Linked DNA regions of Coturnix japonica. The main gene of each other region encodes a partner of the protein of the gene in region 2 in a complex. Links are inferred from orthologs where the notes say so. Each region holds a gene or a part of one and is shown on either strand. Other genes may lie near its edges. The genes, in order: POLE and POLE3.

Evidence for each region.
Region 1: POLE3 (region 2) and POLE share a complex: the UniProt entries of both Homo sapiens proteins name them as parts of the DNA polymerase epsilon complex. The link is inferred for Coturnix japonica from reciprocal best matches to the Homo sapiens genes POLE3 and POLE.

Annotation. Positions count from the first base shown.
Region 1 is NC_029530.1:8,898,029-8,901,835, forward strand, and holds part of POLE (DNA polymerase epsilon catalytic subunit A), read right to left. Parts: intron 3,731-3,807; coding exon 3,628-3,730; intron 3,508-3,627; coding exon 3,361-3,507; intron 3,216-3,360; coding exon 3,070-3,215; intron 2,780-3,069; coding exon 2,631-2,779; intron 2,260-2,630; coding exon 2,167-2,259; intron 1,884-2,166; coding exon 1,739-1,883; intron 1,599-1,738; coding exon 1,441-1,598; intron 601-1,440; coding exon 405-600; intron 272-404; coding exon 57-271; intron 1-56. UniProt on the Homo sapiens protein: Catalytic component of the DNA polymerase epsilon complex. Participates in chromosomal DNA replication.
Region 2 is NC_029532.1:789,272-793,592, reverse strand, and holds POLE3 (DNA polymerase epsilon subunit 3), read right to left. Parts: upstream 2,993-4,321; 5' UTR 2,923-2,992; coding exon 2,857-2,922; intron 2,782-2,856; exon of another isoform or gene 2,721-2,781; coding exon of another isoform or gene 2,664-2,720; exon of another isoform or gene 2,647-2,663; intron 2,581-2,646; coding exon 2,495-2,580; intron 2,310-2,494; coding exon 2,191-2,309; intron 1,702-2,190; coding exon 1,541-1,701; 3' UTR 564-1,540; downstream 1-563. Other genes in the region: ALAD (delta-aminolevulinic acid dehydratase), read right to left, coding at 334-397. UniProt on the Homo sapiens protein: Accessory component of the DNA polymerase epsilon complex. Participates in DNA repair and in chromosomal DNA replication.

The DNA.
Region 1 (3,807 bases), on a different chromosome or scaffold from region 2:
CCACCCTGCCCTGCCCACATGCTGTCACAAGCCTCGGCCCTTCCAGACACGGGTACCTCTCAGTGACAGGAGAGCCCTCGGGTTTCTTTGAGATGATGAAGCGGCAGCTCAGCCCTGCATCCTTCACCATCTGGTCCCCCAGGAACTCTGCCAGGCGCTTGGCAGTGCTGATGGAGGTGGATTTCTGCTCCCCATAGTCCTCCAGCTTGCGAGACATGGAACGGTTCTCTGAGATGAGCTCAAACAGCTCCGAATCGGGCATGTTGGCAGCCTGAAGGCAGGGGGGAACAAATACACAGCAAGAGTTTGGTGATTTAACATCGCAGCATCCAACCAGCTCTTACACCTTCTTTTACACCACTTTAGGGATGCAGGGGGCAGCCAACCTGCAAAGCAATGTGTACCTTGCTGTACAGTACATCCAGCCAGTAGTCAGCCACCTTGGCCACAGAAGCATAGACCTCCTCCAGGGTGGTGCCTTTGAGGAAGGCCTCGAATACAGAAGACTGGAATATCTTCACCAGCTGCAGCTCACCTCGGCGCTTCACCTCAAAGCCCTTCAGCTCAGCCAGGGACCCATCTTCATTGAACACTGCATACCTGGGGTACATGGATTGTTTCATTTTGGGCTGTGAAAGCACAACAGTTTGTGCCCCAGTCCATCAGTACCAAGTGGGGGAATGTTCCAAACTGCACATCAGTAAAGGCCAGGAGGTGAGACAGGGTAAGGTGGGGGAGATGCAGGGGGAGATATCAGGAAGAGCTTTAGAGAAAAGAAGGAAGGTTCGTAAGCTTAGTGAAATGATTCAGAGGAAGCTGGATGTAGCTACTGATGAGGTTATAAGAATACGCTACCCTCCTCCCTTTCTTTGCTTATCCCTACCCTTTATTTGTATGCATGTCTCAAGATAAATCTTACAGAACACTCAGCTAACAGAATAGCAATGATACTCAAGCCCACGTTACTTTGACTGCCCAACTCATCAGTATGGATGCAGCCTTCTCTTCCTCCACCATTGATGGTGCCTACCAGTAAGCTTCAGGTTATTTCCATTTGAGCACAACCAAGGAATAAACTCCTTTGCCGACAACACCCAGAAACCACAGGGAATAAGGAGGCCCTGAGGAAGGGGCCCTGTGTACAGCATCCATTCAGTGCTTGGCATCAGTTTCATTCCTATGGCACAGACATGGCATGGAAAGGCACTGACAGGGGATGGCAGACGTTAGAACTTGTCTGATGTGCAGAGAGCACAGCCAGGCTGAGCATTTTAAGGACAGAGGGTCCTGGAGGATGGAAATGGCTTTTCTGAGTTCAGACCCAGGTCCACAGGCACCTCCATAGCTGGACATTGCTGGTGTTCCTACACAGGTTGCTGTGGAAAAGTCAGTGGTATTTGATGACAATCGCTTTCCTATATTTCAAGCTTTGAGTCCTACCTTTTCTTCAGCTTCTTTCCCTCCTCCTTGGAAGCTGGGAGGATCATGGCCAGGTATGGCCCATCCACTTCAAAGAAGATGCTGTTCTCTGAGCGTGTGATGTAGGTAAGAGAGGCTGGGTCCTGCAGCTCCTGGTACTGATCATTTGTGAAGCCTTCCTGCAGGCACAGCCCCAAAAGAACAGACTGACTCAACAGCTGGGCTGGTTCTACCAGGAGATACCACACTTTCTCTCCTTGTCAGTCCTCCATTCATTTCCCCAGACTGCAGAGCTGGCTGGGATGGGTGTGAGACTCACCTTCACCAGGATGTTCAGCATAGCACCTGGGTAAGAGATTGTCACCTTTGGCTTCTTGGCATTGGTTGACTTGATGACAAAGTTTTCTGGGAAGCTGTTGGGGAGGACGCACCAAATCCCATCTGTATCCAGTTCCAGAGGTCTCCTAAGGAAGATCACTCAGGAAATCAGAAGCTGATACCATATAACAGCTCTGCTGCTGCTTGTATGGGGGACACAGCCTCTTGCTTCACTATCCTGTCCCTTCTGCAAAGTGAGCCCTTGTAAGGCAGCAGAAAAACCACAACCACCAATGCCAGCAATCTGAATCTTCAACACGAAACACTTTCAGCATCTAATATGCTCCCATTGGTTCTATGCTCCACACTCAAACCCCACTCTCACTGTGTGCAGAAGAACCTTTCTTTCCCAGCTCAGCACATACTCACCCAATCTGCTCAATCAGTTCCCTGGCCTGTGTGATGATATTGGCCCCAGTGAAGCAGACGATCCCGGCCATTTCCATGGAGTACCATCGAGCTCTGGGAACAGAGGAGTCCAGGTGAAGGGGATGCAGTGCTACCCTGCAGCCAGCTATGGGAAAGGGCAGGAAGGCATCCAGAAGGAGAAGAGCAAGGAACAAGGCAGCACTGTGCCTTGGTAGATTGCTTTCCTTTCCTTCTTAATGGTTTTTTAGAGAATCTGAGAAAACACTGATAGAGAAGACTGCCGCCCCTTGCTGCTCAACACTACAGGTCTCAAAGATCAGAAGCCATTAATAGAAGCAAGAGAGAAGTGTTCCAGGGATCACCCATCCCTGTGCTATGGAAACAGGTGAAGCAAGTGGCAGCCTCCCCAAAACAATCCTGGGTGTTCTCTGGAGGACTCAGCAACAACGCCGGCTCAGACTCACCCTTTCCGCATGACATAGCCATAGAAAGAATTGAGAATGCATTTGTGTGCCAGCTGCAGGGAGTCGTAGAGGATCTCCATGTTCTTGCAGCGTTTCACTTCAGAGGCATCTCCTGTCTCCATGGCTGCAGACAGCTTCTTCTTCCACACCTGGGAGCAACAGGCAAAGTTGGAGAGGTGGTGGGTGCCCCGTCTTTGGAGACACCCAAGGTCATGTTGGGCCGGGCCCTGAGCACCTGATCAGCTGTAGGTGGCCCTGTTCATTGCAGAGGAGTTGGACATGATGGCCTTTAAAGGTCCCTTCTAACTCAAACCATTCTATGATTTCCCTACTCAGTACAAAGGCTGAACAAACCCATCCTTCAGTGCTCAGGCTTACAGCAGTTGGTGAGAACTCCCCATCCCCAGTAGGACAACGAAAGCAGGACTCAGCCCAATACCTTGTGCAGCCCCTTGAACTCATAGCGGCGGTCCCTGAAAGCTCGCACCGTGTCCACATAGAAGGAGTTCTCTCGTTGGCAGATGGTGGTGACCCTCTCCTCCACCTTGGTGACGTGGATCTTCTTGTAGGCTTTGCGGCAGTAATCTGCTCAAGGGCATAACAGGTTGTTTCTCAGTTGGTGCCCACCATGGATGGAGGAGGTGGACACACAGAGGGGGTGGACAGAACTGCATGAGGTTCTGGCTGAACAGCATTGATTTGTGCCTCAGCTCATGATATTAACTCTTACCTGCCAGCCGCTTCTTCTCATACTTGGCTTGTTCCTCTCGGGAGAGCTCGTGGAAAGCACGTGGTGCTCCATCAGGGAACAGTGGAGGGAACTTTTCTGACTCCAGCTGCTGCTGGATGCGGTGATACTCACTGCGGCTCGCAGGCACTGCAAGGAGGGCAACAGAGGAGAAGCAGGAATCAGCCTCAGCATCATCCAATGGGACAACAAGGTCTCTAGTGCACTCGGCCTCACTGAGTGGGACAGTGAGGTATCCGTTGTACTCACTGAATTCTCCTCTCCACTGCCACGTCATCCGGCGCTGGCAGTTGGCCCCTGGCTTGTTGAAGTCACAGGCAGCACACGTGGCCTCATCCACCATCGCTGAGGGCTAAGGAAGAGACACACAGGTATCAGAGGACGCTTGGTTTCAACCCTACCCTTATTTGATGCCCCCTGCCCTAAGCT
Region 2 (4,321 bases):
CCCGGTGCCCGCCCGGTCCCAAGGGCACAACCCGGCTCTATCCAAGGTCTGTCCGTCCTTGATGCCGCCCTGGGCCCCGCACACCCCGACACCCGCCCGACCGTCTCCCCCGCCCGGCGGCGCTGCGGTTGCGCCGAGCCCGTGGGTGACGGAGCCCCCGGGGCCGAGCAGCACCGCCACAACGGGCCGGGCCCTATGGACACCTCCCGGCCCCGTAACGCTCCGTGCCGATCCGGGCACTGCGGGCCGCTCTCGGTGCGGTGTCGCCCGACTCCCCGCAATAACCCCGCAGCACCGGCCGAACCGCGCTCAGACCCGCGACCCCGCGCTCACCTGCCGCCGCTTCCCGCCGCAGCACACAGCCAGATTTGCATAGCCCCGCCCCCCTGATTTGCATATCACAAGTCTCGCGCGGCGGAGCGCGGGAAAGGGCTGGCGCGCGCTTGTCTTGGCGCGCTCCCGGTGGCGGGAATTTGGCTCGTGGGCGCTGTGTGACCTGAACCGCAACGCACTCACACCACGAACAGCTCATGGATTAACCATGGAAATCAACCAGTCAAGACCCGTAAAGAATCTGAACTTTTATTTAAATCCTGGTCCGGGACGGGATACACCCCAACAGGTACCAGAAAGCTCAATAACATGGAATAAAGCCCCCAGACATAGAAGGAAACCAGTAATGCAGCACCCAGCAGCACCCAGCAGCCTGTCTGCAGGAGCTGCAGCTCCACAGAGGAGGGGAAGGAGCTGAGACCATCAGCTGCAGCACAACACACACTTGCTGCAGCCTTTTGCTGTTCCTCGGACATAATTTTGCAGGTAGCTTTGCTTAAGGTCGTTCATCAAAGTTCCCTCTTTGTCTCCAAGGGCTTGAAAGACACAAAACAGCATTTCTGGTATAGATTCACTTTGGAAGCACCTTCAAGTCTTTTTTTGTTATTATTCTGGTTCATGGAGGGGAGGAATTCAGCTCACTGACCCTCGTACTGTGTGCTGCATCCAGCTGGTGAGGCTGAAAGAGCATCACTGTGAAAGAGCAGGGGAGAGAAGGCACAGCCAGAATGCAAGACAACGAAGGGAAAAACATCACTTAGAGCTTGAACAGTCAGCTTCTAAGGCTCTCAACATCATCACGTAGACTCTAAACCCTGAGGGGTTAATGAGCCAGGATTCAGCTCTCCGCTTGGTTGAGTGAGCTTATTCATAAGCTCTTTCAGGTTCTCCAGGTCACTTCAGTGCTGAGCCATCCGACATTGCTCTTTTTTCCCTTTGTTTCAGAGTCAATCCAGCATAAAAATACCAGACCCATTACTGTCTGTTCAGCACCTGGGGAAGCTGCCAAGTCCCCTGCGTGCAGGGAGGTGAGGCACCCATGAGAAATGCTTTAGCCAAGTCCTTTGTGTACAGGCTAAAGCCAAAGAGAGATTCCAGAAGAACAGTACAGAGCTCTACTGGAAACCAGACGGGACATGGCCAGATTTCTTTACAACATTTATATCCCTAGTAACAAAACCCAACCCTGAATGTCCCATTGGCAAGCTCAGTTGTCCACCTCTTCCTCATCATTTTGCTCTTCTTCCTCCATCCTTTCATCATCATCATCATTATCATCTTCTCGGCTCTTATCTTGTTCCTCTGAGTCTGCCTTCTTGTCTTTATCTTTTCTCGCTTCTTTCTTTCCCTTCTGTTCACGTCTGTAAACTACAAAGAAAAAGAAGAGTGAAAACCTGCAAGCCGGTGTTTCCACCACGTGAGCACTACAGCAGCTGGGGCCCAGTGTCCACTTAATGAACTCACAGCAGCAGCTCCCCCTATTATTAGAGCTGTGCTGTCCAGCCCGTGAGAAATCAGGTGAAGTTTCAGCAGATAAATGCTGAATAGGACACAGGATTTCACATGTGCAGGCAACACCTACGACTTCCCTTACACAGACCTAAGAGGGGACTGATAGCAGATAAGACTTTCTCAGTTCTCATCAGTGGTGAAATGTTATCCCAGCTGTTAAGGTGCACATTATTAACATCCACACAAGCTGCAGTGTAAGATGCCAAGCAAAGAAGTATTTGCAAACTCTTGCTTTTTTGCAAAGTCTTGTTTTTACAGGACAGACAATTAAGTGCTGCTTGTCTGATGTAAGCAAACAGAACTTGGTGCTATGGCAGCTCCGTCCATAGGGTCACAGGCCGATACCTTCCAGGGATTCCTTCAGAGGAGCAATAAACCGCTGGAACTCCATTTCCTCCATGGCAGAGAGCACATCGCCAGCATTCAGCGTCTTCCTCTTCCCCTTCATGGCAAAGTTATTCGCACTGCTCAAAAACAAGAAGAGTTAATGGATAACTGCCATCATTCACTCTTCTTTATTACAGTTCTAAACGTGTCCAGAGGGGGGCCACAAAAATACACGATGGATGCACACCCAGCAACGAGCCCCAGCCCAACCAGCAGAGATCTGAGTTACTAACAGCAGCTTATACACACAACAAGCTCTTACCATGAGGTCGCATAGAGCACGAACACACTCGCTGCTCGGGATATCGCACTGCGGGCTTCTTTGGAGATGTTCACCCCGTCGGGCAGCTGGGAAGCAAATAAAGACCCGTTAATCGCTGCTGGGAAGCAAATAAAGAGCTGTGAACTGATGCTTTAAAGCAAATAAAGACCCGTGAACTGATGCTGGAAACCAAACCCAGGCCTGTCAGCTGCTGCTCCGAGCACATATCGGTTCTGCTGTGGCACTGAGCTCAGCACGGCCCTCAGGTAAGGCATTACGAGCAGCACAACCCCACAACGAGGATCTATGAGGGACAGCGAGGTCTCCGTATGGCCCAGCCCCGCAGCCCGTCCCGCACCCACCGCCTCCTTGATGATGCGGGTGATGACGGCGTTGGGCAGGTTCAGGTCCTCCGGTCTCTCCGCCATATTGGGCCTCCCGCGCCGCCACGGCCCACAATGCACCGCTCCTTCCCGCCCTGCCCCGCGGCCGCCGTTGGGGGGGGGAACAATATGGCGGCGGGGGGCCAATATGGCTCATTCGGCCTCTGGAAAGAAAACGAACTGTGATGTGGTGGAACAAAGCAGCACTCCGTTATTCCTCACCACACATAGAATGTGACTTGACAGGACACACCACGCAGTACATCAGCATCCACATCCATCTTTCTCCCATAAACATGAGCTGATTGATGGCCCTTTGTGTGCTCAGTGCTCCCAGTGCCCACCATTGAGGGCTCTGACCCGCTGCCATCCACTGCCCCCAGCTCAGGAGACCCCCATTGCTCATAAAGCCTTGATAAGCTCAGCCTCACTAAAGCTGAACGTTTCCAGCCCATGGATTCCTTTTGCTGAACCAATAGATTGGTCACTAATCCCTATTGCTAAAGAAGAAGGTTGACCCAGTGCTGTGCTGGGTTGGTTGCTCCCGCTGCTGGAAAATGCATGTAGGAAAGCCTGCACTGCCAGATCCTGCTCCCAACTTCAGGTTTTTAAGCTAACTTTTAACTTTTTAAGCTAACTTCAGGTTGGGAGCAGGATCTGGCAGTGCAGGCTTTCCTACATGCATTTTCCAGCAGCAGGAGCAGCATTGGGGATGATGCACAGCAGTTGTGAGATGTATTAATAGCTGGACTTACAGCTCGTATTGGACACAGTAACGTGTTGTGGTGCTGCACAGCATTACGGACACACAAAGGTCAGAGCTGGAGGAAGGACTGTGTGCGTGACAGCGCTGATTGCTTTCCCACTTACAGTAATTGTGTTAATCAAAGCCTATCGTTGCGCACACAAACCGCTCTCAAATCTCGTTTCTAACTCTTCAATGTATTCTTCTGTTAACAATTCTTCTGCAGGGTCATTCGGCGGCTCTCAGGGGTGAAGTGCTGTAGCAGGTGTTGCATTACTTTTTAATGAAATAATGACCGATTGTAGCTGGTCCATTTGTAACTGTAACACACGCTGCTAATGCCCGCTTCTGGACCAGCTGGCGGCTCGCTGTTAGCAAAGCCATCAGAAGTTGATCTCTGTTTTGCCAGAAGGCGAGGTTATTTCCTATATGCATAACCTAAGAACAAAGCAAGGCAAACTTGTGTTATTGTGCAGTGGGGGTGGGCTGGAATAGAAGCAGAGATGATGTTGGTCCAGAGCCAGGGACAGACAAAGCTCCTCTGCTCCCAAATAAAGGCCAGGGAGTAATGCCAAGCTGTATTCTCAGCCCTTGCAGGCTTGTGAGCCCATTCACACCTCTTCTTCCACATCAGTTCTACCAGGGTCCACCGTAAACCACTTCTCAGAGCAAGTTATGAGTGAGCACAAGTCAGGGAGG